6 linked regions of the Macaca mulatta genome follow. The protein of the gene in region 4 purifies or fractionates together with the protein of the main gene of each other region. This does not show direct contact. Links are inferred from orthologs where the notes say so. Each region holds a gene or a part of one and is shown on either strand. Other genes may lie near its edges.

The links.
Region 1: the proteins of TULP3 (region 4) and KBTBD7 purify together in Homo sapiens (affinity purification with mass spectrometry; 3 studies listed by BioGRID and IntAct, counting the BioPlex papers as one, with this or other methods). This does not show direct contact. The link is inferred for Macaca mulatta from reciprocal best matches to the Homo sapiens genes TULP3 and KBTBD7.
Region 2: the proteins of TULP3 (region 4) and WDR19 purify together in Homo sapiens (affinity purification with mass spectrometry; 5 studies listed by BioGRID and IntAct, counting the BioPlex papers as one, with this or other methods). This does not show direct contact. The link is inferred for Macaca mulatta from reciprocal best matches to the Homo sapiens genes TULP3 and WDR19.
Region 3: the proteins of TULP3 (region 4) and SIRT1 purify together in Homo sapiens (affinity purification with mass spectrometry; 5 studies listed by BioGRID and IntAct, counting the BioPlex papers as one, with this or other methods). This does not show direct contact. The link is inferred for Macaca mulatta from reciprocal best matches to the Homo sapiens genes TULP3 and SIRT1.
Region 5: the proteins of TULP3 (region 4) and WDR35 purify together in Homo sapiens (affinity purification with mass spectrometry; 5 studies listed by BioGRID and IntAct, counting the BioPlex papers as one, with this or other methods). This does not show direct contact. The link is inferred for Macaca mulatta from reciprocal best matches to the Homo sapiens genes TULP3 and WDR35.
Region 6: the proteins of TULP3 (region 4) and IFT140 purify together in Homo sapiens (affinity purification with mass spectrometry; 5 studies listed by BioGRID and IntAct, counting the BioPlex papers as one, with this or other methods). This does not show direct contact. The link is inferred for Macaca mulatta from reciprocal best matches to the Homo sapiens genes TULP3 and IFT140.

Annotation. Positions count from the first base shown.
Region 1 is NC_133422.1:20,613,464-20,618,498, forward strand, and holds the start of KBTBD7 (kelch repeat and BTB domain-containing protein 7), read right to left. Parts: upstream 3,487-5,035; 5' UTR 3,178-3,486; coding exon 1,120-3,177; 3' UTR 1-1,119. UniProt on the Homo sapiens protein: As part of the CUL3(KBTBD6/7) E3 ubiquitin ligase complex functions as a substrate adapter for the RAC1 guanine exchange factor (GEF) TIAM1, mediating its 'Lys-48' ubiquitination and proteasomal degradation.
Region 2 is NC_133410.1:38,399,305-38,403,826, reverse strand, and holds part of WDR19 (WD repeat-containing protein 19), read right to left. Parts: intron 3,600-4,522; coding exon 3,474-3,599; intron 1-3,473. UniProt on the Homo sapiens protein: As component of the IFT complex A (IFT-A), a complex required for retrograde ciliary transport and entry into cilia of G protein-coupled receptors (GPCRs), it is involved in cilia function and/or assembly.
Region 3 is NC_133414.1:81,856,180-81,860,701, forward strand, and holds part of SIRT1 (NAD-dependent protein deacetylase sirtuin-1), read right to left. Parts: intron 4,285-4,522; exon of another isoform or gene 4,193-4,284; coding exon of another isoform or gene 4,160-4,192; intron 3,668-4,159; coding exon 3,520-3,667; intron 2,436-3,519; coding exon 2,356-2,435; intron 1,205-2,355; coding exon 1,018-1,204; intron 1-1,017. UniProt on the Homo sapiens protein: NAD-dependent protein deacetylase that links transcriptional regulation directly to intracellular energetics and participates in the coordination of several separated cellular functions such as cell cycle, response to DNA damage, metabolism, apoptosis and autophagy.
Region 4 is NC_133416.1:3,832,173-3,836,694, reverse strand, and holds part of TULP3 (tubby-related protein 3), read right to left. Parts: intron 1,628-4,522; coding exon 1,530-1,627; intron 819-1,529; coding exon 615-818; intron 1-614. UniProt on the Homo sapiens protein: Negative regulator of the Shh signaling transduction pathway: recruited to primary cilia via association with the IFT complex A (IFT-A) and is required for recruitment of G protein-coupled receptor GPR161 to cilia, a promoter of PKA-dependent basal repression machinery in Shh signaling.
Region 5 is NC_133418.1:105,122,283-105,127,459, reverse strand, and holds the end of WDR35 (WD repeat-containing protein 35), read right to left. Parts: intron 4,791-5,177; coding exon 4,550-4,790; intron 4,216-4,549; coding exon 4,065-4,215; 3' UTR 4,051-4,064; exon of another isoform or gene 3,752-4,050; intron 1,690-3,751; 3' UTR 738-1,689; downstream 1-737. UniProt on the Homo sapiens protein: As a component of the IFT complex A (IFT-A), a complex required for retrograde ciliary transport and entry into cilia of G protein-coupled receptors (GPCRs), it is involved in ciliogenesis and ciliary protein trafficking.
Region 6 is NC_133425.1:2,832,708-2,837,895, forward strand, and holds the start of IFT140 (intraflagellar transport protein 140 homolog), read right to left. Parts: upstream 3,248-5,188; 5' UTR 3,193-3,247; intron 1-3,192. UniProt on the Homo sapiens protein: Component of the IFT complex A (IFT-A), a complex required for retrograde ciliary transport and entry into cilia of G protein-coupled receptors (GPCRs).

The sequences.
Region 1 (5,035 bases), on a different chromosome or scaffold from region 4:
GCTGATAGACATGATAACTACTGATCTGAATAAAATACCATTTTTAGCTTATATATATGTTCTAAACCATATTACCTCACAAAACAGTAAAGAATAAATCACTTTCTGATGGAGAATCCTCTAGGACAAACACCAAACCTATACAGCCAAAATATTTTAGGGAGGCAAATAAACATTTTAAGACAAGTCATGACCAGTGGATAAAAATTTGCATTACCCAATTATATGTCTAGGAATTGTTCTTCTGCGTCAATAAAGCATGTATTGGGCATAGATTAAAAATACAAACGTAAAAAGCAAGTTACCTTTTTTTTTGGTTTAGAAGGGTGTTTAATTCATGACATTACTAGAATGGGTGTTTTTTGGGAAAGAAAATTGGTCACATATACCAAATACACATTTTATATTCCAAAATAAAAACAGATTTATTTTAAAACAGTGGAATCCTTATTTTTATTTACTTATTTTTTACTTTCTGTGAGCTTGTGAGGCCATTCTGCACATTTATCAAAATGAAATCATTATTCAGTAACCTTTTTATATATATATATATATATATATATGCAATTTTTTTTCCTTTGTAGAAAACCAAAATAATTTTACAAACTATATTTAACTTAGAATATAAAGAACTGACTAGTGTAAAATTTTGAAAATCTACCACTTTATTTTGAAGGAAAGTATACATCCTTCAAAACTCCACCAACAATTCCTAGTCCAGTTTTCTATTGTACAGATTAAAAAGTTAAATTCCTTGTGGCACTAACCAAAACTTAAAAATTAACAGAAGACTGAATTAATTAAAAAAAAAAAAGCATACTAACTAATCAAAACAATCCACTGTGCAATGAATATTTGAACAATGAAAAAAACCTACCAAGCATCCCAGTCAATTACATAGTTCTTGCTTCCATATTTTAATTTTGGACTTTCAGGAAGGTATATTATTAAACAGGTCGATTTTGTGGACTGTTTAAACCTTGTAGTATTTCAAAATATTACCCTTTCTAAACCAAATCTGTGGTCCTGGTCAACTTTTTTTTTTTCAAGAAAAAGAAAGGATATGTGTTTAAAATACATTCCGTAGCAGTAGAAACATCTTAGTGTCTCAAAATCTATTTACAAAGAACCCTGCTGATCCTGTGCATTTCGCTGAGGTGCTACTTGCACCCAGACTTCATCATCTGAAAAAGAACTTGAACTTCCTGACTCAGAGTCCAGCTCACTGAATCCATCTAAGTCCCATTCAGTACTAGACTCACTCCGTGCATCATCTTCCTCAGTAATAAAACTCTGACCAGGTTCAAGGCAGGAAGGATAAACACGGGCACAAAGGCAAATAAAGCCAGAGTCAAACTGCAAAAGGCCTAACATAGTACCTATATTAATCCACTGATCTTCCCTAGTATCATACTCATACACTGTTACTCGGTTCTTTTTCCATTGTGGGGTTGTAGAAGTGATGAGAAGCAACTTTCGGTCATGATTGACAATCTGGTAGTTGTGGGTCTCTGAATCCAAAGGAATATTACTAATCCGCCTCCATTCTCCCCTAGCTGGGTTGTAGACCTTCATGACTGGGATGTCACAGATACAATAGATTTCATCATTGAAAACACATGCTTCCTGAAAGTCACTGCGTTTAAGAGAAGCACAGTTCAGCCACATATTGTGGCTAGGATCATAGCAGAGCATGCGCTTACTGTTGACAGCATAAAGATAGTTCTGAACCACTATGAGTTCAAAGGAATAGAAGGAATGAGGGACAGGAGCCACCAATGCCCACTGGTTTCTCTGAACACTGTAGCATTCCACTTCCTTCAACTTAACTCCAGTAATAGGGTCTCGCCCCCCCAAAATGTAGATGTAGCCATTGAGATATGCCACATCCATGCCCTCACGACACAGCAAGCGATCTGCAAGTTGCTGCCAACTATTCTGAGCTGGTTTATACACCCAGAGGTCTTTCCTTGGCTGGGCAGCTAGATAGATGTCATGGTCTGGGGAGACACAGACAGCTGAGGAGGTAACAGTCTTAGTGTGAGCAAAGCTGGTCAAAGGTGATGGCATTGTGTAAATGTCCCCTGAGTAAGGGTCATAGCAGAGAAAGGGATCTCTGGGGTGTCCAAAGAAGATCACCATCTCCTTGGCACACATACCCAGTCTCTGGGGTGGATTTTCTGCTGCAGATACAAGAGAGTTGCTGCTGCTACTGCTGCTGCTGCTGCTGTTTGGCACTGGCACCAGAGACTTGTACAACAGGTCACCATAGCGCATCTGCAGGGCCCCTTCAATAACGTCCAGGCAGTACTTCTTCACAATGGGCTTGGTCAGCAGCCCTTCTAAGTAGTCCTGATCTTCTTCAGTGAAGTGCATCCAGCGCACGCACTTGAAGACTTCCGCAGCACTGGGACCCCGCTCCTTGGGAGCAGCCTCCAGCCACTGCACAGCTACATGGCATACAGTCCGCTCACTCTCTATGTCCAGACTATCCAAGCGCAGGACAGCCAGCAGCTGGGCCAGGGTCAGATCTGCTAGAGTCTCTTCCCGAATTGAACCCATTCGGCTGAGCTGCTTGAAGTTCTGAGCTATATAGGACTGGGCCTGAGATCGAAGCTTGTGATGGTCGAAGGCGTCTGCAAACTTGAGGATGGCGGTGCAGTTGGTCAGGTCAAGACGTCGGGCTAAGAAGGAGGCACAGGCTTCCCGCACATACTCCAGTTGCAGCATGTCGGAGGCTGCGTACAGGCGCTGCACATTGGCCTCGCTGAGAGACACACGACCCGTGTAGCAGTAGTCGACCAACACCTCGAAGGACTCGGCGTCCACATCGTGCATGGTCACGCTGGCCTGCTGGCTCTCGTACATGCCACCTGTGAACATGCTCTTGAAGTAGGGACACGCAGCTGCTAGCACGTTGCGATTGCAGGAAAAGAGGCGACCCGTGCCAGGCCCGCTGCCAGGCGTCACCACCTCGATGGTCACATCACACAGCAGCCGCGCGTCGTAGAAAGACTTGAGCTGTGCCAGCAGGGCTGCAGAATGGGCCGTGTCCTTTAATTCCTCTGGACCCGTGAAAAAGGCCGAAACCGAGGGCTTGGAAATCCTCTTGGGCCGCCTCCCACCGCGGGGGCTGGCGAGGCGGCGAGAGCGCGGGGCGTCTTCCCGGGACTGCATGGTGGAGATGGCGACGGGCGCTGATAGCGAGAAAGGCTGCCGGACCCGGCTCTGGCTCCTCCTCAACCTTCCCTCGCAGACGCTAAGACAAGCCGCGTCCTGGAACAGACTGCGGCACGGGCCGCACTTCTGAATTCAGCCCTAGCCCGCGGTGAGGCCTCCCTTTATTGCGTAGACAGTGGCTGACTCACCCTCTCTCACTCCCGCGCCCTTTCTCCGCCTCCGCTCGCCCTCACAGGACCCGCTGGCTTGGAGCCGCGGAAGGCCCCACTGCCGCGCTGGCGATCCCGCTAGGCGCCCAGGAGAACTACCGCTTCCAGGTTGCCTTTCGCGCCCCGAGGCCTGCTGGGGCTCTCGGACGGCCGGGCGGGGACAGAGGGAAAGAAACCGCTTTGCATGTTGGGAGTAGTAGTTTGTGTAATATCGCGAGCTTTCCTTTCGCTGACTGCCCTAACAGTAGAAATTAATTCTGGATATGATGGTGAAGTGACGATGTCTCACTATTGTTGTCCAGGCTGGTCTTGAACTCCTGAGGGCTCAAATTATCCTCCTGCCTCTGCCTCTCAAAGTGCTGGGATTACAGGCGTGAGCCACCGGGCCCTGCCAGTATTTCATAGGGTTTTGTGTGATTGAATGATACGTTACATAGGATACTTAGATACATATATTTTTTTGGTTAGAAGAACAATAAAGCGTTACCCCGTGCCTAGAATGTAGCCAATAATTGTTAGATTCTCTTTTATAATTTATGATAAATGAGGCACCCACTAATTTGAAACCAAAAAATTTTTAAAATTTTAAAAATTATTTTAAACCGCAAAATTTTACAAAGAACTTAGTTTTTAATTTTTATTCTTTTGAAAGATTTTGAAGGGCATTAACTATTTTCAATGTTAAATGGTACGTATTGGCCTTGTTTAATAAGGATGTCTTAGACGACTAGGTTGAGGTCCTAAAGAACGGTGTTAATAGATGGCCTCAAATATGCAAATCGGGCATATAAAAATAGATTATTTGCTACTCTCACTAACATTTCATCTCTGGGGAGCAGGAATATTTTCATTAAGCTCCAAATATGAGTGTTTTCAAGTCGTCTAATACAGCCTCTTTCACTGCCATTCCACATATCAATTAACAGATTCTGTAATTGCCTTTATTAAGGAGTTTTAGGGAGTATTTAACTCAAAATATTTCAAGAAACAGACTTTGTTCTGTACAAAAGCACGTGATTCTCAGAATTCAGCATTAGTACATGCCCTGACATTCCTTGAATTAACATACAGTATAGCCTATGCTTTACAAAAGTCTTTTATATTTGCATTGATCAACAGTTAAATCATCAAAATCAAGTATTAGAGATTTGAGGCAGGAAAATAGGGTCTGGAGGCAGGGAACATAAGGCCGATTCACACTTTAGCTATAACAAGAAATATCCTCTCCATAGGGTGTATGCCGAGTAAATGAGTTTGTAACTTTAATTCATTCTCTTCGTTTACATAGGGTATACACCAAGTAACCAGTGAATCCTCTAGAGGGTATTTAAACCTCCAGGAATTCTGTAACAGGGCCCTTGAGCCCTGTGCTGGGCCTGCGCCCACACTGGAGTGTACTTTCATTTTCAGTACATCTCTGATTTTGTTGTTTCATTCTTTCCTTGCTTTGTTTATGTGTTTCTTCCAATTCTTTGTCCAAAACGCCAAGAACCTGGACACCCTCCACTGGTAACAGATTGACTTTTTCAGATAACTTTTATTACAAAACCAGTGACTGCTCCTGCTGCTAGTTTATATTACCATAACCCAATAAAGAAAATCATCAGTATTATATGCATGTATGGATAACACATTACAAGAGAAAA
Region 2 (4,522 bases), on a different chromosome or scaffold from region 4:
GCAGTGAGCCGAGATTGTGCCACTGCACTCTAGCCTGGGCAACAGAGCGAGACTCTGTCTCAAAAAAAAAGAAAAACAAATTAATTTTAGCAAGTAAGGGAGTAGTAACATACCAGGCTGCTAGGTTCTTCTATTAAGTAGCTATTTTACAAAAGATAAATATGCATTTTAATCTTTCTTTCCTCGTTTTAAGTAGGTGCCATAGCTACAATAATGTGCCTCTCAGATTTCCCTTTGTCTGCAGAAAGTGTAACTGGCCACAAGCCCCAACTGCTAGGCTTTGGAATCCATCACCTCAATGAACTGGGCTGTGCTTTCTCATGGGCTGCTCCCAGACAATGACTGAGTGAGGGAGGGATAACTGCTGGGCCCATTCCCGGGCAGAACTCCTTTGACAGGTAACTTTTGCCCAAAGACTCCCCACAGACCTAGCTGAACTTTCTTAATTAGAACTCTACTACAATTTAATGGGCTGGGCACGGCGGCTCACGCATGTAATCCCAGCACTTTGGGAGGCTGAGGTGGGCAGATCATCCGAGGTCAGGAGTTTGAGACCAGCCTGGCCAACATGGTGAAACCCCATCTCTACTAAAAATACAAAAATTAGCTGGGCATGGTCATGGGCACCTATAGTCCCAGCTACTTGGGAGGCTGAGGCAGGAGAATTGCTTTGACCCAGGAGGTGGAGGTTGCAGTGAGCCGAGATCGTGCCACTGTACTCCAGCCTGGGTGACAGAGGGAGACTCCGATCCAAAACAAAAAAAAACCCAAAAAACCAAAACTGTGCTACAATTTAAGATGCTTCTTCCCAACCTTACTTCTTTCCCTCTCTCATTTATAAGGGTCAGACACGCACTGAGGTCTGACAGTTCTTCCAATCTCTTCTCCTAACCTCTCTAAGTTCCCTCACAGGCATTTCCTGTAAGAAATCTCTTACACATTTAATCCTGTCTTAGAGAGACTCCTTCAAAGAAAATATGAATAAAAATAATTCTGCATGAGCTAAAAACAGTATCAGAGAAAAGAACTGTATAACAAGAACAAGATCTGATCAGCAAAAGTGATCATATATAATAAGATAAATATAACATTAGTCTATTCAATAGTTTATCAGCACTGACAGTTACACAACAACCAACTAGAAAGAAAGTGTTAAATAATGTGTTCTAAGAAGATCAAGTAATCAAATGTCCTCAAAAGAAGAGCTAACTGAACAGACTCCATCCCTCTTAGGAGATAAGGTCTGTAGAAAGTCTTGCAAATTACAATATGATACTAAAGCATATGTAAATTTCCAATAATGCCATTGGATCAGGACAACATATAACAATCACATGTATCTCTGGCCAAGCAAAATTTAAAGAATATATCATCCTAGGGAAATGTACAGGTTACAAAAAATTGCAACCTATGTATAAGGCATGGGCTTAAAAGAATTTTACTAACATGACAACTGAAGGTCAATTTAAAAAGACACTGAGTAGGATACCTAGTACTCAGGTCCAAATTGCCTTGGGAGAAGCAACCATGTTCTGTGATCCATCTAAGAATGAATTGGTTGATGAAGCAGATGTTACATATAGGGTTTTCTGTGGAAAGAAATGGCTATATCCCAGTCACATAATTAAATGACTACTTCTGTTAGGTCTAGGCAGGAGCAGAGTAAATACTGCTATAATCCTAAAAGAGTATAAAAGCCTATATAGCAAAAATAAATGAATTCAGCTCATTGAATTAATGTAATATTTTTAGTTAAGTGGCACCACAGTAAGTTTTGTGATAATTACATTTGGATAGGTTTTGGGTACTATTTAAGGTGTCTGAAGTGCTCAAAAGATTCACTTCAGATAAATTTTATAAACGGAACCTAAATTGATTAAAAGCTTTTATCTACTAAGGAATAACTGAACCTAGAGGATGCAAGGTGGCCATGTACAACAGGACCTTCTTAAATAAAAATACTTAAGAAAAATTGATATTCAAAGTTTTGTTTAATAACTAGCTAGTATAACAGATTGGCCTTTGAATAGAGAACAAACAATAGTGGGTATGCTTTTGTATATACAAAAGTTCTTTAGACTTTAATTATAAACATCAACAGTAAAGCAACCTTAATTTTATTTTAATGACAATTACGATAACATCTACCATTTACTTGGGTCTTAATTTTATGCCTTGCCATGACATACATTTAAACATCACAACAATCCTAAGATGAAGTGGAGAAACAGACACTCTGGGAAGATAGAGAGCTGAAGGCAGAGATAGACCAGTTAGAAACACCAGGGGATTAATTATGCACTTTTCTCTGAGTGAGAACATGGCCTTACTGTTGCTGAATTTGGCTCAAGAACCAGTACTTGAAGTTTATTAAACACTCCCTTGAATGGAAGCACAGAGACTGTATATAAAATCTTTCTGAAAAGTGATGTAAACCCAGAGTGTAAGAGGACAGAGCAAGAACTGAAGGTTCTTAGACTCAGAAAGACTTTACATTGGTAGACAGTATCTTCTGCAGCTACTTGCCTCAACAGTCACTCTGGAGGGTCAATGGCACTGCACTCCCTAGGTTATAGCTGATGCTGCTCTACATGACTGCCTTGCTTCCTCTGGGTTCAGTTATTCCTTAGTAAATAACTTGAAAACTTATAGTCTGGTCTAATAGCATGTATATGATCTCTTCCTCCCCACCTGAGGGGTACATGAAGCCATGAAACATGCTATACCCATGTCATAGAGATGAAGAAACTGAGGCTTGGAGAGGGGTTAAGCAACTTGTCCAAGGTCAAAATGGCAAAGTTTTAGCTGGAAATGCTGACAAGTTTTTCTTGTCCATATCGGAAACTGGTTTCTATTTTAGCAGATATCTGTCATTTATTCTGTCTGCCCAAGGTGTTTTTCCATTTGGGAACTGCCCTGCCCTTCACCCTTCCTTTCACTTGGTGGGAGTACCAATCCATGGCCCTGCCTACTCCATTCAGAGACCTTTTGAGGAACTGAATGGGCTCTGGTGATGTCAAGGCACATGCTCTTTTCTCTGGCATGGCTTGCTGTGAAGAATGATACACACTGGTAGCTACCAGTAGTCGTGGATGAGAATCTGATTTAGAATGAAGTCAATATAGAGAAAAGAGGAGCTGAGAGGTGGAGAAAAAGTCTTGATTGCACCATTATAACTCCTAGATCCAGCCATGCCTATGGTCAAGCCCATCTCTGGATTTTCCCATATATATTTTGTCTCATCTCTGCACTTCTTAGTCTGTTCCACTGAAAGCAACTTTTTAAGAAGCTCTTTATATTTCACAGTTATAACAATTTCATTCTAATTGGGTAACAATAATAAAATAATCATTTTCTAAGAAAATAACTCATTGAGGAATCTTAAAATGAAAGTAGAAAAGAATTGTTAGCACCAAACCTACAAATATTCATGTTTCTAAGTGAAGCTTTAAAAAATAAAAAAGTTATCTTACCTCATGCCATTATCTAACTGGCTAGTCTTATTTGTGTTGGCATCCCAAAGATAAATGCAGCTAGATTTCTCAGCAATCACTGCTAGGACATCTCCATCTTTATCCCAATCCATGGCAACACAGTTACTTTTTAAAAAGAGAGCAAAATATCACTATACATTTTTTAAAAGTAAAATCACTGTGATTTTTGTCTATAACAAGATTATTCAATCTATTTTGAACAGATAATAAACTCTCTAAAGTGAGAAATACAACTCACTATTCACTGCATGGGTGATATTAACTTCAATTTTTTGCTGTGGTTGAGGGGATGGTAAAATTAAAAATTTTACTTTTAATAGCATTTTCATATACTACATTAAATATAATCATACTTAAGTTAGCAGATTTTCTTAAATCCTATAAAGAACCCTGCCTTTTGATAAAACAAACTCATCAAGCACTTTTACAAATGAATCACATCTGGAATCGAGACATAATTTGTATGATCAACTTTTAAAAGATCATTTTAGATTGACAGAGAGGAAAAGAAGGTATTCATAAGAAACAAAGTGGCTGGGCACAGTGGCTCATGCTTGTAATCCCAGCACTTTGGGAGGCTGAGGCAGGCGGATCATCTGAGGTCAGGAGTTCGAGACCAGCCTGACCAACATGGAGAAACCCCATCTCTATTAAAAAATACAAAAATTAGCTGGGCATGGTGGTGCATGCCTGTAATCCCAGCTACTTGGGAGGCTGAGGCAGGAGAATCACTTGAACCCAGGAGGCAGAGGTTGCAGTGGACCAAGATCGTGCCACTGAACTGCAGCCTGAGTACCATGGCAAGATCCCATCTCTACCAAAAAAAAGAAAAAAAAAGGGGGGCTGGGCATGGTGGCATGCACATGCTACTCAGCTACTCAGGAGGCTGAAGTGGGAGGATTACTTGGGCCCGGGAGGTCAAGGCTGCAGTGAGCCATGTTTGTGCCACTGCACTCCAGCTTGGGAGATACAGTGAGACCCTGTTTCAAAAAAAGAAAAGAAGCAAAATTATAGCTAAATTGAGTGAT
Region 3 (4,522 bases), on a different chromosome or scaffold from region 4:
CTTTACCTTTGTCTTAATTTTTCACATAAATCAGAAGTAGAGTTTAGCATTACTTGTGGGTTTTTTTGTTTTTGATTTTTTGAGACAGAGTCCCACTCTGTCGCCCTGGCTGGAGTGCAGTGGCACAATCTCGGCTCATTGCAACCTCTGCCTCCTGGGTTCAAGCGGTTCTCACACCTCAGCCTCCCACGTAGCTGGAACTACATGCGCACACCACCACGCCCAACTGATTTTTGTATTTTTAGCAGAGACAGGGTTTCACCATGTTGGCCAGGCTGGTCTCAAACTGCTGCCCTCAAGGGATCCACACACCTCGGCCTCCCAAAGTGCTGAGATTACAGGCATGAGTCACTAACGTTACTTGTGTTTTGACAACCCTCCACACCCCATCAAAATGTCAGATTCACCAGTCTCAATGAACAACAATGCCACATAAAAAATAGTTGAGCCAGATGTGGAGGCTTGTGCCTGTAATCCTAGCTACTCAAGGGGCTGAGGCAGGAGGATCCTTGAGCCCAGGAGTTCAAATCCAGCCTGGGCAACACAACAGGACCTCATCTCTACTATAAATAAACAATTTCTGGCCGGGCATGGTGGCTCATGCCTGTAATCCCAGCACTTTGGGACGCCAAGACGGGTGGATCACCTGAGCTCAGGAGTTCGAGACCAGCCTGGCCAACATGGCGAAACCCGGTCTCTACTAAAAATATAAAAAGTTAGCCAGGCATGTTGGTGGACAACTGTAATCCCAGCTACTCAGGAGGCTGAGGCAGGAGGATCGCTTGAACCCAGGAGGCGGAGGTTGCAGTGAGCTGAGATCACGCCACCGCACGCCAGCCTGGGCAATAAGAGGGAAACTCCATCTCAATAAATAAACAAACAATTTCGAAAATTAGCTCTTCACCACTCTTTCAAACAGAAGCAGAGTAAGATTACTAGAGTTAGGGTCTATTATACAGATCCACAACCCATGACATTATATATAGAAATGATCTCCAAAAGCCATCACCAACTTACTTGGAATTAGTGCTACCGGTCTTACTTTGAGGGAAGACCCAATAACAATGAGGAGGTCAACTTCATCTTTGTCATACTTCATGGCTCTATGAAACTGTTCTGGTAAATTTTCACCAAAAAACACAATCTCTGGTTTCATGATAGCAAGCGGTTCATCAGCTGGGCACCTAGGACATCGAGGAACTACCTACGAATTTTCAGATTTTGGTTGAGACAGAGAAGCAAACAGTAAGCTCAAGTTAGAAATAGTCAACATTTCCATACCTCTAAGAATACATTTCAGAATTATTTAAAAAAAAAAAAAAAAAAAAAAAAACAGAAAAGCTATAGATAAACAGCAACTGGGTAACAATCTAAACGTCAATGATGGGTAGTTTATTAACATACTATGAAACAGTGAAATACTATGCTCTTGTTATAATATCTATATAGAAAAACACTTGACATTGAAGAGTCCATCATATAAGAGGAAAAACACAATGTGTGTATATACACAAAATGGGAATTGATCCTTTAAAAGAAAAATACACATTTGTAAAACAAAATGACTCCATTGTATTTATTTGAGATGGAGTCTCATTCTGTTGCCCAGGCTGGAGTGCAGTGGCATGATCTCAACTCACTACAACCTCCACCTCCTGAGTTCAAATGATTCTCCTGCCTCAGCCTCCCAAGTAGCTGAGATTAAAGGCATATGCCACCATGCCAGGCTAATTTTCGTATTTTTAGGAGAGACGGGGTTTTGCCATGTTGGCCAGGCTGGTCTTGAACTTCTGACCTCAAATGATCCACCCACCTCAGCCTCCCAAAGTGCTGGGATTACAAGCATGAGCCACTGCACCCGAACAATGATTCCATTTTAATATACTATTCTTCCTCTTTCATAATAATATAATTAACTCTATATATTGCTAAGCACACAGGACATATTTCTGGATAATTTTTATTTTCTGCTACATTTTCCTATATTTTTTGGCAATGAACATGTATGAAATAATTTTAAAAGATTACCACAACTAATTTAAGGTTCAAATCTGACAGGCACAAAAAGAGGAAGGAGAAAAACTACAACAACAACAACTTGCTTATGATCTGATGTTTTAGGTTCGGCTTAGATACTAAGAAGCCAATTTCATAATTTTAACAGACTTTATAGGGCTGTTTTCTATATAAGGTATTGAAAGGTTCTTGTATATTTTACCAAAATTCCCAATTACTATTTTCTTCCTGAATATTTCTGTATCACGTATACCTTTAAGGGTAAAAAAAGGATTTTGAGGCAAAAGAAGAAATACTTCAGAGACATGCACAATTCCTAAAATACGGGAAACAAATTACCTGATTAAAAATATCTCCTCGTACAGCTTCACAGTCAACTTTGTATTTACAAATCAGGCAAGATGCTGTTGCAAAGGAACCTAAAAACAACCAACATATATGTGCTTTATTAATGAAGTATTTCTGTTTCTTGAACACACCACGAATGTTATAAAGTTTGACATCAGAAATGTTAACAGGGTTTAAAGATTTTTAACTTTGATTTTAAACCTCAGAACACACTGCAGATTTTGTGATACACTACAGGAGAATCTAGGGGATGAATAATTTATATATTTATTTATACATAGAATGAACACAATTCTCAATCGCTGAGACAATAATGATGCCTTCTAAAGCTACTCTTTTGAACAAAACTGTAATAACTCGCTCCTGCAGAGCTAAAATCCTGCAGAGTTGAACAGTTCCAATTCTATTACCTTAGTTCAGCAGTTCTTAGAAACACTTTAGATACCTAATGGCGTGTTCATACTTGTTTTACATTAAACATTTCTGAATCTCTGAATTCTGTACATCTCAACTATCCAGTTCTTTTAGTTTCATAAACTAAAGATGTCACATTTCTTCATTAATAGCTAACATTACTCTTGTAATCAGTTTTTTTTTTTTTTTTTGGACAGAGTCTCACTCTCTGTCTCCCAGGCTGGAGCGCAATGGTGCAATCTTGGCTCACTGCAACCTCCAACTCCCAAGTTCAAGTGATTCTCATGCCTCAGCCTCCTAAGTGGCTGGGATAACAGGTACGCCACCATGCCCGGCTAATTTTTGTATTTTTAGTAGAGCCAGGGTTTCACCATGTTGGCCAGGCTGTTCTTCGAACTCCTGGCCTCATGTGATCCGCCCGCTTCAGCTTCCCAAAGTGCTAGGATTACAGGCGTGAGTCACCACACCCAGCCAGAAAAGATTATTTAAAATAACTGAATGCATGCAACTGCAGCATCTTTTGAAATCAAAAGCAAATTAATATTTGAGGTTTTATGTAATTAACTGTTTTTATTATTTTTGTTTTCTACTTTTCTACTTTTCGGAGGTTATCTATAATTAACGAGATAACATGATTAAATAATGCTTTATCTCCACTTCTCAATGGCAGTCTGCTTTAGAGGAAAAATCCTCCTATAAAACTAAAATAAATTACAGAAAACCATTCTGAAGTTTACTAACCATGACACTGAATTATCCTCTGGATTCCCGCAACCTGTTCCAGCGTGTCTATGTTCTGGGTATAGTTGCGAAGTAGTTTTCCTTCCTTATCTGACAAGGCTATGAATTTGTGACAGAGAGATGGTTGGAATTGTCCAGGATATATTTCCTATATCAAGTAAAAGGTAGAAAAAATTTACATTAGTGAAATAAACTACAGATGTCATATGTTTAACAAAAAACTACCGATAATCCCCCACATATAATTTTAAAAATGAAATAGATGAGCATTTTAAAGTATCTAGATGGATGCAACACACACCTACAAAAGGACTGTTGCTGTCATGTATAAAACTCAGCAATTAGTGAACTTGGCCCCTTGAAGAAAAAGACAAAGTCAGCCCATAAACATCTCTAATAAATGTTGATATTTTAATAAAAGTCAGAAGTAACACAACCTTAGGATATCTAATTTTTGTTGGCTGCAAATTCAGATTTTTTTCTTTAAAGAAAAATGGGAAACTTTAAAATTACAGGTATCAAGGTAGGGTGATTTTTAAAAAAGCACTGTCAATACAAGAATATTTTAAAATTTTTTTGATTTATCATTCATTAGAATATCAACCTGTTGGAAGTTTAAAGCTAAAGTTTTAATCCTTACCAAAATTGTTTTCCTTCCACTGCACAGGCACATACTGGTATAGTATAGAGTTGCTCATGAATGCTGAGTTGCTGGATTTTGTGTGTGTGTTTTTCCCCCCAAATAATGCTTCAATGCTGTTTCTTCTTTAAAAACAAAGAATTCAGATATACACATGGCAAAAAGATCAGAGAAAAAGTATCAATTTTGGTCCTCCCAACTTTTGACAGTGTTTTTATTAAATTTCATTTAGTAAGTGACTATGGCAAAGGAAGTTTCTTCTCTACTTTTTCCTTTAAAGTAGTAGTGCTATCATCTACTTACTTCCTTACCATTCATTACAGGCTCTAATCTATCATAATGCTAGCAAAAAACTAGACACAA
Region 4 (4,522 bases):
TGTTGTAAACACTCAATAAATGGTGGTTAGAACAATTAATACCTACTATCATTATCTCATTTCTAGGCTCTTAAAAGCATCTGTTAAGACCTGGTATTAATACAAAATTAATAAGGTTCATCGGCACATATTAAATTGGCTCAAACTTATAAAATAAATTAGAATTTCTAGGGTGAGAAACAAGACATTTAACTTGTATGTCCTTCGTATTTCTAATTCATCCTATTCCCCAAAACTCGCTCTCCTTCCACAATGTCATGTTTTATCATTAAAAAAAAAAAAAAAAAAAGAACAGTAGCATCTAAAAACTAAATCATGGGAGACAGGTGAAAACTTACATTACAAAATACCTGTAAAATTACATTAAGAAATACCTGCCCATTTTCCCACATTGTGGATCAAGCTCTTATTTGTGGGAGGGTAGAGCTTGCTGCCTATTAGACCATGAGCTCTTTGCAGAAAATGAGAACACAGCATCTGGGGACTGAAAGATACAATCTACTTCTAGCTGGCTTGGTCTAATACCAGAGTTAGTTCCCTAAGGCCCATCAACAATCTATTCCCACAACATTCTTCTCTCTCTCAAGAGTTTTCTTAGAAATCAATTCTCATACCTTCTGATTTTCTTCTTTCTCCAAGTACATATAGTAGGTGGGGAAGAGGCCCCGATCCATTCCCTTTTTATCCCGGATTATCCGACATCTTACTGTGACACCTTGAGGGGCAGGACTATACACAAAGTCCTCCAGGTCGTCTATGTCTCCCAGGAGGTTATCAGCTGGTTGGGCTGCAGTAGCAGAACAGGAAGTGCCTGTATCCTGAAAGGACAGCCATACATGAGCAACAAGAGGCCAGGACTCAAAATCTGATTCTCTTTGAGAAGCACTTAGTGGACAAAGCAACTTAGTAATTTACCCCTGTGTCTTCAGTCTTCTGACAGAATAAGGAAAACTGAAAAGTTAAATAAGGATATGAATATTAAGAGTAATGAAGAGCTAAGTATGCAAATGGGACAAAGCCTCACAATAGCTGACCTGAGATAGAAAAAATTAGATCATAAGCTAAATTTGAGCTTAAACTTCTGAAGGAACCCTCATTCACTAATGGTATTTAAATACTGAAGATATGTTTGAGGGCTGGGACAGTGGCTCACACCTGTAATCCCAGCACTTTGGGAGGCCGAGGCGGGTGGATCACAAGCTCAGGAGATTGAGACCATCCTGGCTAACACGGTGAAACCTGTCTCTACTAAAAATACAAAAAATTAGCCGGGCGTGGTGGCGGCGCCTGTAGTCCCAGCTACTCAGGAGGCTGAGGCAGGAGAATGGCGTGAACCCGGGAGGCAGAGCTTGCAGTGAGCCGAGATCATGCCACAGCACTTCCAGCCTGGGTGACAGAGTAAGACTCTGTCTCAAAAATAAATAAATAAATAAATAAATACATACATACATACACACACACACATACTGAAGATATGTTTGAGAAAGAGTCAAGTTAGCTCTAACGGAAGAAGTTTCAGAACTACATACAGTTGAATTCTGGCTGGATGCAGAATTTGGGCTTTCTAAACATGCTGACTGGGATCTTCCATCAGTCTCCTCATCGAAGTTCACACTTTCAGAGATATCTAGCAGAAAAGGAAGAACTGTTAGCACTGCCAACACTGGTTTAAAAAAGGTCTTTGAAACAAAGATAGTTTTAATTTTTTTTTCTTAAAACCTTCCTAACTATTGTGACCCTAAACACAACTATTTTGTCCAAATACATAAAACAGGCAAATTCATAGAGACAGAAAGTAGAATAGAGGTTACTAGGGGCTGGGGGCAGGGGAGAATGAGGAATTATCTTGAATGGGTGTGAAGTCTCTGGGAAGATGAAAAAGTTCTGAAGATGGTAGTAGTGGTTGCATAACATTGCTAATGTACTTAATGTCACTGAATCTCACACTTTAAAATGATTAAACTTATAAATTTTAGTCAGGGCAGGCTGGGTACGGTGGCTCACACCTGTAATCCCAGCACTTTGGGAGGCCGAGGCGGGCAGATGACGAGGTCAGGAGATTGAGACCATCCAGCTAACATGGTGAAGCTCCGTCTCTACTAAAAATACAAAAAATTAGCCGGGCATGGTGGTGGGCACCTGTAGTCCCAGCTACTCGGGAGGCTGAGGCAGGAGAATCGCTTGAAACTGGGAGGCAGAGCTTGCAGGGGGCGAGATTGCGCCACTGCACTCCAGCCTGGGCAACAGAGTGAGACTGTCTCAAAAAAAAAAAAAAAAAAAAGAAAATTTAGGCAGGGCACAGTGGCTCATGGCTGTACTCCTAGCACTTTGGGAGGCTGAGGCAGAAGGATTGCTTGAGGCCACGAGTTTGAGATCTGTCTCTATAAAAAGTTTTTTTTAAAAAAATTAGCCAGGCATGATGGTACCTGTGTGTCTGTAATCCTAGCTAGCTGAGGTGGGTGGATCACTTAAGCCCAGGATTTTGAGGCTAAAGTGAGCTATGCACCCCCGCCTAGGCAACAGAATGACACCTGAACTCTTTTAAAAAAAAAAGTGTACTTTTTGTTATTTGGAAGGGAAGGGAAGGCTTCAGTAAAAACAGGAAAACTTGCTAGACATTCTAAAAAGAGCTGTAGCACTAATAAATTATTATTATTATTATTAAGATGGAGTCTCGCTCTGTCGCTCAGGCTGGAGTGCAGTGGCACGATCTCGGCTCACTGCAACCTCCATCCCTCGGGTTCAAGCGATTCTCTTGTCTCAGCCTCCCCGGTAGCTGGGATTACAGGTGTGCGCCACCAAGCCCAGCTAATTTTTTTGTATTTTTAGTAGAGACGGGGTTTCACCATGTTGGCCAGACTGGTCAAACTGACCTCAGGTGATCTGCCCGCCTCGGCCTCCCAAAGTGTTGGGATAATAGGTGCAAGCCACCATGCCAGGCTAACACTGGTAACTTTTATGTTACAATGCATGTTTTACCACAATTAAAAAAAAATCCAATGATGCATTGTTCTCTACAGCAGTTTTATTCCCCCCAGCATTTTCTTTTATATTTTTTTCTGAGATGGAGTTTTGCTCTCGTTGCCCAGGCTGGGCGCAATCTCGGCTCACCGCAACCTCGGCCTCCCGGGTTCAAGCGATTTTCCTGCCTCAGCCTCTTGAGTAGCTGGGACTACAGGCGCCCACCACCACATCTGGCTAATTTTGTATTTTTAGTAGAGACGGGGTTTCTCCATGTTGGTCAGGCTGGCCTTGAACTCCCAACCTCAGCCTCAGCCTCCCAAGTAGCTGGAATTACAGGTGCCCACCACCACACCCGGCTAATTTTTTTTGTATTTTTAGTGGAGACGGGGTTTCACCATGTTGGCCAGGCTGGTCTCGAACTCCTGACGTCAGGTGATCTGCCTGCCTCTGCCTCCCAAAGTGCTGGGATTACAGGCGTGAGCCACCGTGCCTGGCCTATTGTGTACTTGAAATGGAAGAGGTGTATGGTCTGTAATTTATATCTCAAAAGAGCTGTTACTTAAAAAATTATTTGCTTTGCAAAGGACATTTTTTCCTTCTTCTCTCTAAAATATTAACTTATTATTATTATTTTTCGAGACAGGGTTTCACTCTGCTGCCCAGGTGGGAGTGCAGTGGCCAAATCACAGCCACTCACTGCAGCCTCAACTTCCTGGGCTCACGTGATCCTCCCACCTCAGCCTCCTGAGTACCTGGGACTACACCATATCCAGGTAATTTTCTGTAGAGATGGGGTTTCACCAAGTTGCCCAGACTGATCTCAAACTCTTGGGCTCAAGCAATCCGCCCACCTCAGCTTCCCAAAGTGCTGAGATTACAGGCATGAGCCACGACACCTGGTACCCCCCCTTTTTATTGGTAGCAAAAAGGCAGAAAACTCCTGAGATACCACTATCGTATGGATATCTTCACCTATTACTATGTTTTCAAATGCCATTTTTATACCAAGAACTCAGTTCACATGAATCTGTCTTGAGAGATCAAAGATCTCTCTGAAACTTTCAAGACAAGCAAATTGGAGCCACTTATACGGACACAATCTGCCAAACTGACACTTCTTAGAATTCAATCAAAACAGCACTTAATGGGTTTTATAGTCAAGATGCAACCTGTTGAGACATGAAAAGGCATTAATTCATCTGGCACTGAAAGGCCAGTTCTGAGAAAGAACACAGCCACTTCACAGAGCAGTGCAAAAGCAGACAATGTGGTATTTACAGTCAGGGATAAAGAACTAGACTAAGAATCAGAAAATCTAAATCTGCCACTTTTCAGCTAGTTGACTCAAGGTAAGTAATTTAGCTTTGGTTAAATAGAAAATCATTTTTGCGGGCCGGGCGCGGTGGCTCACGCCTGTAATCCCAGCACTTTGGGAGGCCGAGGCGGGCGGATCACAAGGTCAGAAGATCGAGACCACGGTGAAACCCCGTCTCTACTAAAAATACAAAAAATTAGCCGGGCACGGTTGTGGGCGCCTGTAGTCCCAGCTACTCGGGAG
Region 5 (5,177 bases), on a different chromosome or scaffold from region 4:
GATTAAGAATAAGACAAGGATGCCCAGTATCATCACTTTAATTATTCAGCATTGTTTTGGGTATCCTAGCCAATGCAATAAGATGATAAAAAGAAATAACAGATATGACAATTGAGAAGTATTTTTTTAAAAAAAAGCAGTCATTAAGCACGGTTATATGGTTGTATATGTAAAAAAGAAGTGCAAAGGACTGAGAGTGACAAAACATTTTTGAAGAAGAAAAACAAAGTAGGACTTGTACCAGATAGCAGGACCTATTTTAAAAACTATAATAACTGAGACATTCTGCTTTGGGCCAAAGAAAGACAAACAGATCAATGGAACAGAAAAAGAAACCAGAAATTGGTACCTGCATATATGGACTTGTTTTTTTGTTTTGTTTTGTTTTTGGGTTTTTTTTTTTTTTTTCATATAATTGCACATCAGTGTGGAAAGGGTGGACTTCAATCAGCTGGAGGTATAATTTAATTTTTTTTAACTTTAGAGAAATATCTTAGGAGCTGGTAGCTCTCATTATAAAGACATAATACAGCAATTTATTCAGTCTCTTGGGGTTTTTTCCCCCTTGTTTGGTAGCAAAAGTGGTACTGTATATCTATTGTACCTCCTGCTCCCTCTTCCCCTTCTCCACTCTGGAGCCCAATACCCTCCTAACCAACCCCCATCAGCATACTTAAATCAAGACAAAGCAAACACCATGTTCTCCATAAGTTATAAAGAAAACGTGGAATAAACACAAGTTATTTTTTCTTCAATGTTTATTATTTTCGCATTTTTTCACTTAATACTACATAAAATCTAAGATCTCAGCTCTTGGAATACAGAAAAATAATTTCAAAGTGTACTTTAGCAAAATAATTTATAATGAAATTAGCATTTGTGAATTAAGCATGTCAACATTACTGTGTTGCTTGTTAGGCACACTGCTTATTTGTACAGCTTCATCAGTCAGTTCCATCATTTCAATACTTTGGCCCACCACACCACTTTGAAACATGTAATTAAGGGCAAGTTTTATAATAAAAAAACAACTTGGCATTACTCAAAGGGAGTCAGTACATGTTTTTTGCAAGGAGAACAACATAACTGTTTAATGATGCTGTCTTCAGTATACTACCTAATTCTGTTTATGCAACTTCTCACCGGGTAATTGTTTTTTATGGTCAATTTTGCTTTTCTTTGTCCCCCTAGTCAAGGGAGAGTTTGTTAGTGTTGTTATCTTGAAATTGCCTTCATGTCGAATAAAACCAACTAGATCAATTCATAATACAGGTTTTTTCTCTAGTACTATTTACATACAAGACAAAGGTCCCCAAGACATTATGGCAGATCATTAAAACTTTAACAGATATAGATACCAAAGAGGCATAAGCTTTTACAAAAGTAAAAAAGATGTGTCTGTCCATATACATACGCACACACACACACACATATACATATATGATAATTAGGTCCACAAGGTATGAGAGGTTGTTTTAAAAGATACTGGTTTCTGGATCCAACTGAATTAGAAATATCAACTACATATTGTTTAAATATCAACTAGATCCAGCAACTCAGAATCTACCTGGAGTAATTCATTGGTGGGAAAATTCTAGAGCTCAGGCAGCACAGAATTAGGGGGAAATGAGAAGGCTCCAAAAGAGAGTTTCCAAAGTTAGGTGAAGTCTGAGGAGTCAACAGGTGATCCTAGAATTAAAGCAAATGAAAGTGTAACCAACAAATCACAGTAAGGGGCCAGAGGCATGACAATCAAATGAATTCTCAGCTGATTCCTGAGATAGGAAAGGGAAGGAAGAAATACTCAAGCATTCAACCATGGACCAAGAATTGCAGCTCTGACCAAACTGTCCTGCAGGAACCTTTCAGACAGGCAAAGCTAGTAAGTGTGCCATCCCTACAACCCTGAACATTTCTCTTTCCTTGATGAAGCAGAGAACAGTCTCATCCCTAAAAATAGAAGTCCTGTGGAAAGATGTAAGTTCAACAGGAGATGTATTGTCTTAGACTTCTTTGTTAGAATGTGATTTTCTGATTTGGGGAAATTTTCCATTCTGGTATAGAAGAAAACAAATGAGAAAGCTGAAATTCATTGTGTTAAATTTAGATAAGTAAGTTAGTAACTTAGGAGACATATTAGACAAAAGTTAATAGAGCATGTATGTGTGACCACAGATAGAAAGGAGAAAGAGATATCAAATATTCATGAAGCATTCAAAATATGAAAAGCCACAAAGATATCAAATATTCATGACACACTAAGTATGCATGAGACATATAAAGCCCTCAATATGTGTGAGAAGTTGATTCAGTTACCCACTGGTGACACTCATTCTGGCCTGTCCTTACCCAAGAAATACAATAAAATTCATGGCTGCTCAGCAGACTAATAGGCAAGCTATTACTGTGGTAAAAGTGTACTGGCCCCTGAGACCCTTCTAGAGAACAAGTGTACGTCGTTGGCCTCAGGCACATTTCATCTGATTGAGTTGTCTGGCTCAAACGGCCACTCTGGTCCTCCTTGTAACCCCACTATTAGGGGAAAGCTTATGTGACAGAGTGTGAGTCAGGACATAAAAACATTACATAACCTATGATTCAGGTGTTGTGGTCTTTCCACCTCACTGGCACGCTACACTAACAGTGTTAATCTATCATTGCTTTCTCCTTGTTCCTCACTGTGTATTGCAAATTGGTTTAATAAACCAATGTATTTTGAGAATTTTTATTTGGTTTGTAAGGCTTTCTGTTCCTTGACCTCTGGGATAGCTTGCTAGGTAATGTATTTAGAGGCTACCATTGTACAAAGGTAATTTTCCACAAGGTACATGAAGAGAGACAGAGACCTCAAAGACTTCTGGTCTCCTCTTTTTATGTAGGCCTATGAGCCCACTATCTATCCTAAGCTCATCTAGGCTCTAAATCTCTTCTCATAGCTCACTATTCCCAATCTGCAACATGCTGAACTTGCCTTGGTCTCTACAAGACAAAAACATCAGATTGAGAAAGTGTATTGTAGCTGCAATAACAAAGTTGCGTATCTCTATGTATTGCCTCTACTAAAGGTAAGCCAAACCTCAATAAAATAATCTTGATGAAATAGTGCAAAGTTCTGTCTTTAGCCACAAAATGGGAATTCATGAGAAATAAACAGAGAACATTATTTGCTATATAAAAGACATAAGAAATGGTCCATTACAGATCACAACTGTTTATCTTCTAAATTAATAATCCATGAAAACAGATGCATATCAAGAAAGAATCACTCCCTCAACAATACTTGTGTAAATAAAGGGTCCAGCTTAGTGACAATGTTTCAATAGAAGCTATAACTACAAAATGGATATTTTTGTTTGTTATTTTCATTATAAATAGAGCCAAGTTTTCTGCACAATCATATGAAAGTGTAAATTCCAAATGCCATCTCTTGAATGAAACTAAAAGGACAGGTTTTAAAATAGAGGAATAGGGCTATTAGAAACAATTTATTGTTTCTAATGTCTTATTTAAGACATTGTAAAAAATGTCTTAAAATGCCATCGCCTCACTTCTGAATATATAATAAAGAAGACATTCAACGCTTATTTAATTAACTATGGCTACAGAGAAAGCTCATTTCGCTATTACAATTGTTTAACTTCCTTGTAACATGGGTTATAAAAATTCTCTAAATTCAACTTTGCCCCACTCCCATGCCTCCCCTGCTCCCCACTCCCTTCAAGATTTTTTAATGAATTCAGTTACCTTGACATTGTGAGAAAAATATTTATTTGGAATATTCCCATGGTATCATGTAACCAAATACAAGATAGACAAAAGAGAGAGGCAGACAGAAAATATGGTTGATTTTCATACATTTATATGAAAATCAGCCTTATTATTTCACAGTTGTATTGCTTTAAAAAATTATTTTATTAACATGTATTTTGTGCAAAAATTCAACTATAAATAATGAGGCTTATTTTCATACAAAACTCATAGAAATAAACCTTATTACACATACAGCATATAGCCATGTATATATGTTACCTATATTTTACAGTTACATACAGTTTATCATTCCTTTAAGCCACTGGACTATGGCATAAGGGGCAGAAGCTGTAGTGGCTTATTTCCTGGGCAAGGACACCATGCTTGCATACACTGCACATCCAGAATTGATACTCAGTGATCGGGCTTCCTGTGGCAACGCATGTTGGCAGTTTCCCTTCTCCACTGTAAAACAAGGGGAGAAACAATTCATTATACTTTAAAACTTCTCATTAGTCTAACTTAATTTATTTAATACACTTAAAAAAACCTAAAGAATAAAAATTCCAAGATTAATGTCAAATACTTTCATTTAAAAAAGTTTTTTCAAGAAAAAACCTTTCTTACAATGAAAAAATAAAAGCATGAATACACTTGTAAGAATAAATAAAATAGGGTATAATGTTAATGTGAATTGCTTCAAAATTTAGTGCTTTACTTCCTACATTAAACATTGCACATCTAGAAATCCAAGCTTCTAATAAGGTAGAATGACATCCACTAATTAAAATTAGCCTACCCTTCCATAAGGCTGTCCAATTCAGGTTTTCTGTTATCTTTTGAAGTATGTTTGGTGAATATTTCTAAAGCGAGGTCTTCATACTGCTGTTTCTGTTCTGAACTGAGGGTCTCTAAAGATTTAAGTTTAATGAAAGCTTTTGAACAAGTCCCAAAGGCTCTGCTGGCACATGCGCAGAGTGCTAGCAGAGAGTAGATCTCCACAGGAGGGATGATGTCTTCATAGTCTTTCAGATGAAGAGCTAAGAAAACAGGACAATGTGGGTTTTTAAAAATAATTATTATGGTATTATAAACATGCATAAGGAAGAATCTAAGTTAAGGTGTTTTCGTTGAACTTGCATGAACAAACTGAAAGCAAACAGTGTTGAGAGATGGGAGCGCTAGGAGGAGGAACTAGGCTACATGATACCCAAGGGTCTGTGAAGCTGGCTAACAGCTCATCCTGTGAAAAGAACCACCACCAAATGCTACACATGGCTGTGCCAGCTCAGAAATACACACACACACACACACACACACAATTTTGGTGTCAATTTTTCTTCAATTTATGTTAGAAATTTCTGTGGCACTTCAGAAACAGCAAATGAGTATTATACTATGTTAGTCATAAACTGCAAGATAATACC
Region 6 (5,188 bases), on a different chromosome or scaffold from region 4:
AAAGAAGGAAAGAAAGAAAAGCCCTGCAGCCTAGACTACACATGCAATCCTCAGTAACTTTCATTCCAGTCACAATAAGGACAAGTTCTATTTCTGTAGTTGCCTCTTTTTTCCTTTTAGACCAAGTCTCGCTCTGTTACCCAGGCTGGAGTGCAGTGGTGAGATCACGGCTCACTGCAGCCTCAAACTCCTGGGCTCAAGTGATCCTCCCACCTCAGTCTCTCAAGTAGCTGGGACTACAGACATGCACTACCATGGCCAGCTAGTTTTTAAATAATTTGTGTAGACACAGAGTTTTACTATGTTGCCCAGGTTGGTCTTGAACTCCTGAGCTCAGGTAATCCTCCTGCCTTGGCCTCTTAAAGTGCTGGGATTATAGCTGTGAGTCACCGCTGCCTTTTAAACAACATTTTCAAACAAAATAAAAGCAAACTGCTCCAGAAGAGAGTACTGGTACAGAAAAAAACCAGTACTTAATTTCCAGTAAAGCATAAAATCAGACTGTCCGCTACCTCTGACTCACAGGTGGTAGAAGACAGAAGGCTTCCTCCATTAGAGAGTCAAGAACGCACAGCTGCAGCAGCTGTGAGAAGTTGAGCTTGATCAGTTACGTGAACTTAGTGAACTAATCGCTCTCATTCTTCCTCTCAGATCTGGAAAAGATATACATATTGTCCCTTTTCAGGAAGGTTAGGGTGATACATGAAGTGACAGTCTGGTTACTCTCACTTTTTTACACCTCAGTCAATTTGGAGAAGTTAACTGGCAGAGAAGAGCATATTTGTAGACATGTTTGCCACCATTTAAAATTATTCAGGATGGGTGCGGTGGCTCATGCCTGTAATCCTAGCAATTTGGGAGGCCGAGGCAGGCAGATTGTGTGAGCTCAGGAGTTCAAGACCAGCCTGAGCAAAATGGAGAACGTGCACCACCGCCCCCGCCGCCGTCTACTAAAAATACAAAAAATTAGCCAGTTGTGGTGGTGCACGCCTGTAATCCCAGCTACTCTGGAGTCTGAGACAGAAGAATCGCTAGAACCTGGGAGGCAGAGATTGCAGTGAGCTGAGATCACCCCACTGCACTCCAGCCTGGCAACAGAACAAGACTCTGTCTCAAAAAATAAATTAAAAAAAAAAAAAAGAAACCCAAACAACAAACAAACACACATACAGATCAAAACCTGGGCAATTTAAAACAGCGAAAGAAACCTTTAAATTAAAAAATATGTATTTTGTTTAGAGACAGGGCTCCCAGGCTGGAGAGCAGTGGTGTGATCATGGCTCACTGTAGCCTTGAACTCCTGGGCTCAAGTGATCCTCCTGCCTCAGTCTCCCAAGTAGCTGGAACTGCCTCTTAAAATGAGTTTTGGCCGGGCGCGGTGACTCACACCTGTAATGCCAGCACTTTGGGAGGCTGAGGTGGGTGGATCACGAGGTCAGAAGATCGAGACCATCCTGGACAACATGGTGAAACCTCGTCTCTACTAAAAAATACAAAAATTAGCTGGGTGTGGTGGTGCCTGCCTATAATCCCACCTACTCAGGAGGCTGAGGCACAAGAATCGCTTGAATCCAGGAGGCAGAGGTTGCAGTGAGCCAAGATCTCACCACTGCACTCCAGCCTGGGCAACAGAGCGAAACTCTGTTTTGGAAAAAAAAAAAAAAGAGTTTTAACATGTTGCAGCCAGCCAAGGTTACAAATCCTGGGGTATGGGAAATTAGTATCTAACAAGTTTACTCTGTGAAAATATTTCTCTGAAAAATGAGTGATACGTTAGTACAACACTTTGTACTAACTATGAAGGCAAATGGTCCTAATTACTTTCTTTCCTGCCTGGGGTTTTTCAAGGTTCCCGCCCGGCTTTGGGTAAGGGAGTTCTCAGGGCTTGATGGCTTTGCCTTTGTCCTGTGCTTCTTGCCCAGTGTCCCCACACAACGCTGGGCTTCTCCGTGGCTGCACTTAGACTTTACTGTAAATGTGAGTTTCGTTGCTCACACACTGCCCCCCATATTATCTTTCCCAGAGAGCCGGAGGCACCCAGTATTCCCAGCTTCTTAGAACAGTGCCTTGCACAGAACAGGCCCTGCGCGGATGAAGCTGCGTATTAGCAAGGAGAGAGATTCTTCCTGTTGTGTTATTAATATAACAAACGGGTTGCAGGCCTGACTGAATGAGTTCCATTTTTACACAATGCATTAATATAATTCTTCATAGTTCCTTTCACCTGCATTTTAACAAGTTCCCAAAATGAGTATTATCAGTATAATTTATAAAAGTTGACACAAGGAGGAGAGATGGCTACCAATAAAATAGTTACGTACTTGATGACAATCTGCAATAGCGTTAGCTCGGAAACGAGTACCCTTCCTTTCCTTGAAACAAAGTCCCAGTCTCCGGAACATACAACTGGGAGATGTATCAACTTTGGGGAACCAGAGAAAAACTGTATTTATTCTAACTGATGTACTCCTCTCACTTTTAGGCGTCCAGCGTCTCCAGAGCCTCTACAAGTGCCTCCATTAAACTAGCTTTTGGAAAGAATCTGTTAAGCCCATTCAGCTAAGCGGCACGGGGTCACAGGGCTTTGAGTAGCCTTCCTCCTCTGTGACGCCGAATAGGGAACCCCTGGACGGGGCTCCACGGTGGACTCTCAGGGGCAGGCACCCGGGACCACCCTACAAAGCCTCGCTCTCCAGGCCACAATGCAGAGCCTCCGGTCTGCGCAGGGTCCTCGTTGCATACCAGCGGACGGTATCGAGAAGCCATGCGCTGGCGGTTTGATGCAACGCGACCCTCAGAGCCGACCCGGCGTGTGACCAAGCATAGAATGTTTTTTTTTTTGCTCCTCTCGTTAGTCCCGCTTCATCTGGGGTGTGTGATGGCGCCGCCCACCTCCCCACCCCGCCCATTCCAAAGGGACTCTCCCAGCGACCGGAATCAGCCGCGATTCGAGGCCGTGCGGGGGCGACAGCCATCATCCTACGGGCGACCTGGACCCCGCGCCAAGCCCGCCCCAGCCTCGATGGGACCCTCGAAGGGACTCGCGAGGGGCCGCGGGGACTCGGCGGCGACGGGATCGTGGGAGGAGACAGGAGGGTCCCGACGCCCGCCACCGGTCAGATCCTCGGCCCCAAACCCCTGCCTGGCTCCTAAGGACCTGGGTCGGCCGCCCTAGCCCTTAAGGCCACTCACCTCCGCCAGGCCGCTGAGCCGCCGCGCGTTGCCGGGACAACGGCGCGCCAGGAACGCGGAAATAGCCGAAGGTGAGCGAGGCGGCCCCGAGGACGCCCGAAGCGCCCCGAGCGGCCGGAAAGAGCCGAAGGCGATCGGGCACGCACGTGCGGCTCCGAGGTCTGAGCGCCGGGGGCCGGGTTATTCCGTTCTGCAAGAGAGAAGCCGGACGAGCTTTTTTTAGGAGAGACGGCGGCGCAGGGCCGGCGTCCGGGTCCCCTTCGTATTGAGGGCGCGCTGTCACAGCCCCAATCGACCGCGGCATCCTCCCCTCCTGGGCGTGTTCCCCTCCCGTGCATCCCGAGGCGGGGCCTTTCCAGCGCCGGGCGGTCTCAGCCCAGGCCTTCGCTGGGCTCCGCTTTTCTAGTCTGGGAGTGGAGGGCGTGGGTCAGGCGTTTCTGGGAAAGTCGATGCGCTCGGCAGTGTCCTGAGCTGTTGGGTGACTGAGGGCCTGTGTCCATTGCCGGGCCCCGGACTCCACAGAACGGAGCAAGGCAGGGAGCGCCCCCCAGAAAGCAGCTGGCGGCCGGGCGCGGGGCTCGCGCCTGGGCTTCCAGCGCTTGGGAGGCCGGGGCGGGCGGATCGTTGGAGCCCAGGAGTTCGAGACCAGCCTGGGCAACATGGCGAGATTCCGTCTCTAAAAAACTACAAAAATTAGCCTGGTGCGGTGGCGCCTGTAGTCTCAGCTACAGGAGGCTGAGGGAGAAGGATCGCCTGAGCCCCGGGAGGCGGAGCTTGCAGTGAGCCGAGATCGCGCCACTGCACTCCAGCCTGGGCGACAGAGCGAGACTCCGTCTCAAAAAAAGAAAAAGAAAAAAAAACACTAGAATTTGAAAAACACCCCTCTGCTTTGTTGCTATGAAGAAAATGACCAAGTGCCCAGCACCGCTCGGCCACGCTAACGTAGCGCAGAAGCACACACCCCACTCAGGAAAGGGTGCGCGAAACTGCCTCGGACGCGCTTCCACACTTCTCCTCAGAACTCAGGTTCGCGCCCGATTCCACACTCCGAGTTACCACGGCGTTTTCTTCTCATGTATCCGTCAACACGGCTGCGGCCAATCACGGCACGGGCCCTGGCCTATTGGCTGCTTGTCCACCAATCCGAAGAGACGCACAGTCCGCAAGGTCGCGAGACTGGCGTCACAACAGTACTCGCGCCGTGGGCTCGCCCCCTACGCCCACCGGGCGAGCGCGCCCGCCCAGACCTAGCCAATGGGGGCGCCGTTTTGCGGAGACGCGCCCTAAGAAACCTTGGGCGTGCTCGCCCCCGCGCTCGTCGCCTCGCCCCGCGCGCCCGCGCGCCCCGGCCCCGCCCCCGCGCGCCGTCCGTGCGGCCCCCACCGGCCGCCGTAGCCGGAACTGCTGCTGAGCGCGGCGGGCCGGCTTTACTAGGCTGAGCTGCGGCAGTATCGGCGCCCGCAGCCCCCTCAACTGCGCGCCGGCCCGCGGAAGGGACGTGCCGGGGCTAGCGCCGCTCGGCCAGTCGCTCCCAAGGCGGACGACCAGCCAGGCGTCGCCGCCTCACTGCAGCCGGTGCTCGGGGGCCGCGGCTGCCCGGCCCGGCTGGTTCTGCGGGCACCCGGGGAGGCCCCGGGAAGCCAGGCTGCCGCCCGGCGTTGATGAAAAAGGTGACCAAAGCTGGGCGCTGGGGCTGTCATGGCGAGGCCGGGCCAGGGGGTCCTGTGGGGCGGCGCGGGAGAGCGCGGGGGAGGCGTCGCTCCCACAGCGCGCGGTACAGCCAGAACCGGCCTCGGGGCGAGGAGGCTTCTGCGTCCCCATCGCGAGACGCGCGCCGGTGCGGAGCGGGACGGGGCTCGAGGAGACTGCGCCTCCGAGAACGGTCCAGTCTGGTTGGAGGTTCTCGCGAAAAGGAGGCCATCCCCGTGCTCGTTGGCCCTTAGGGTAAAATCGGGACGGCGTCGGTCCTTTCGGCGGCGAAGAGCGCGTGCCCGTG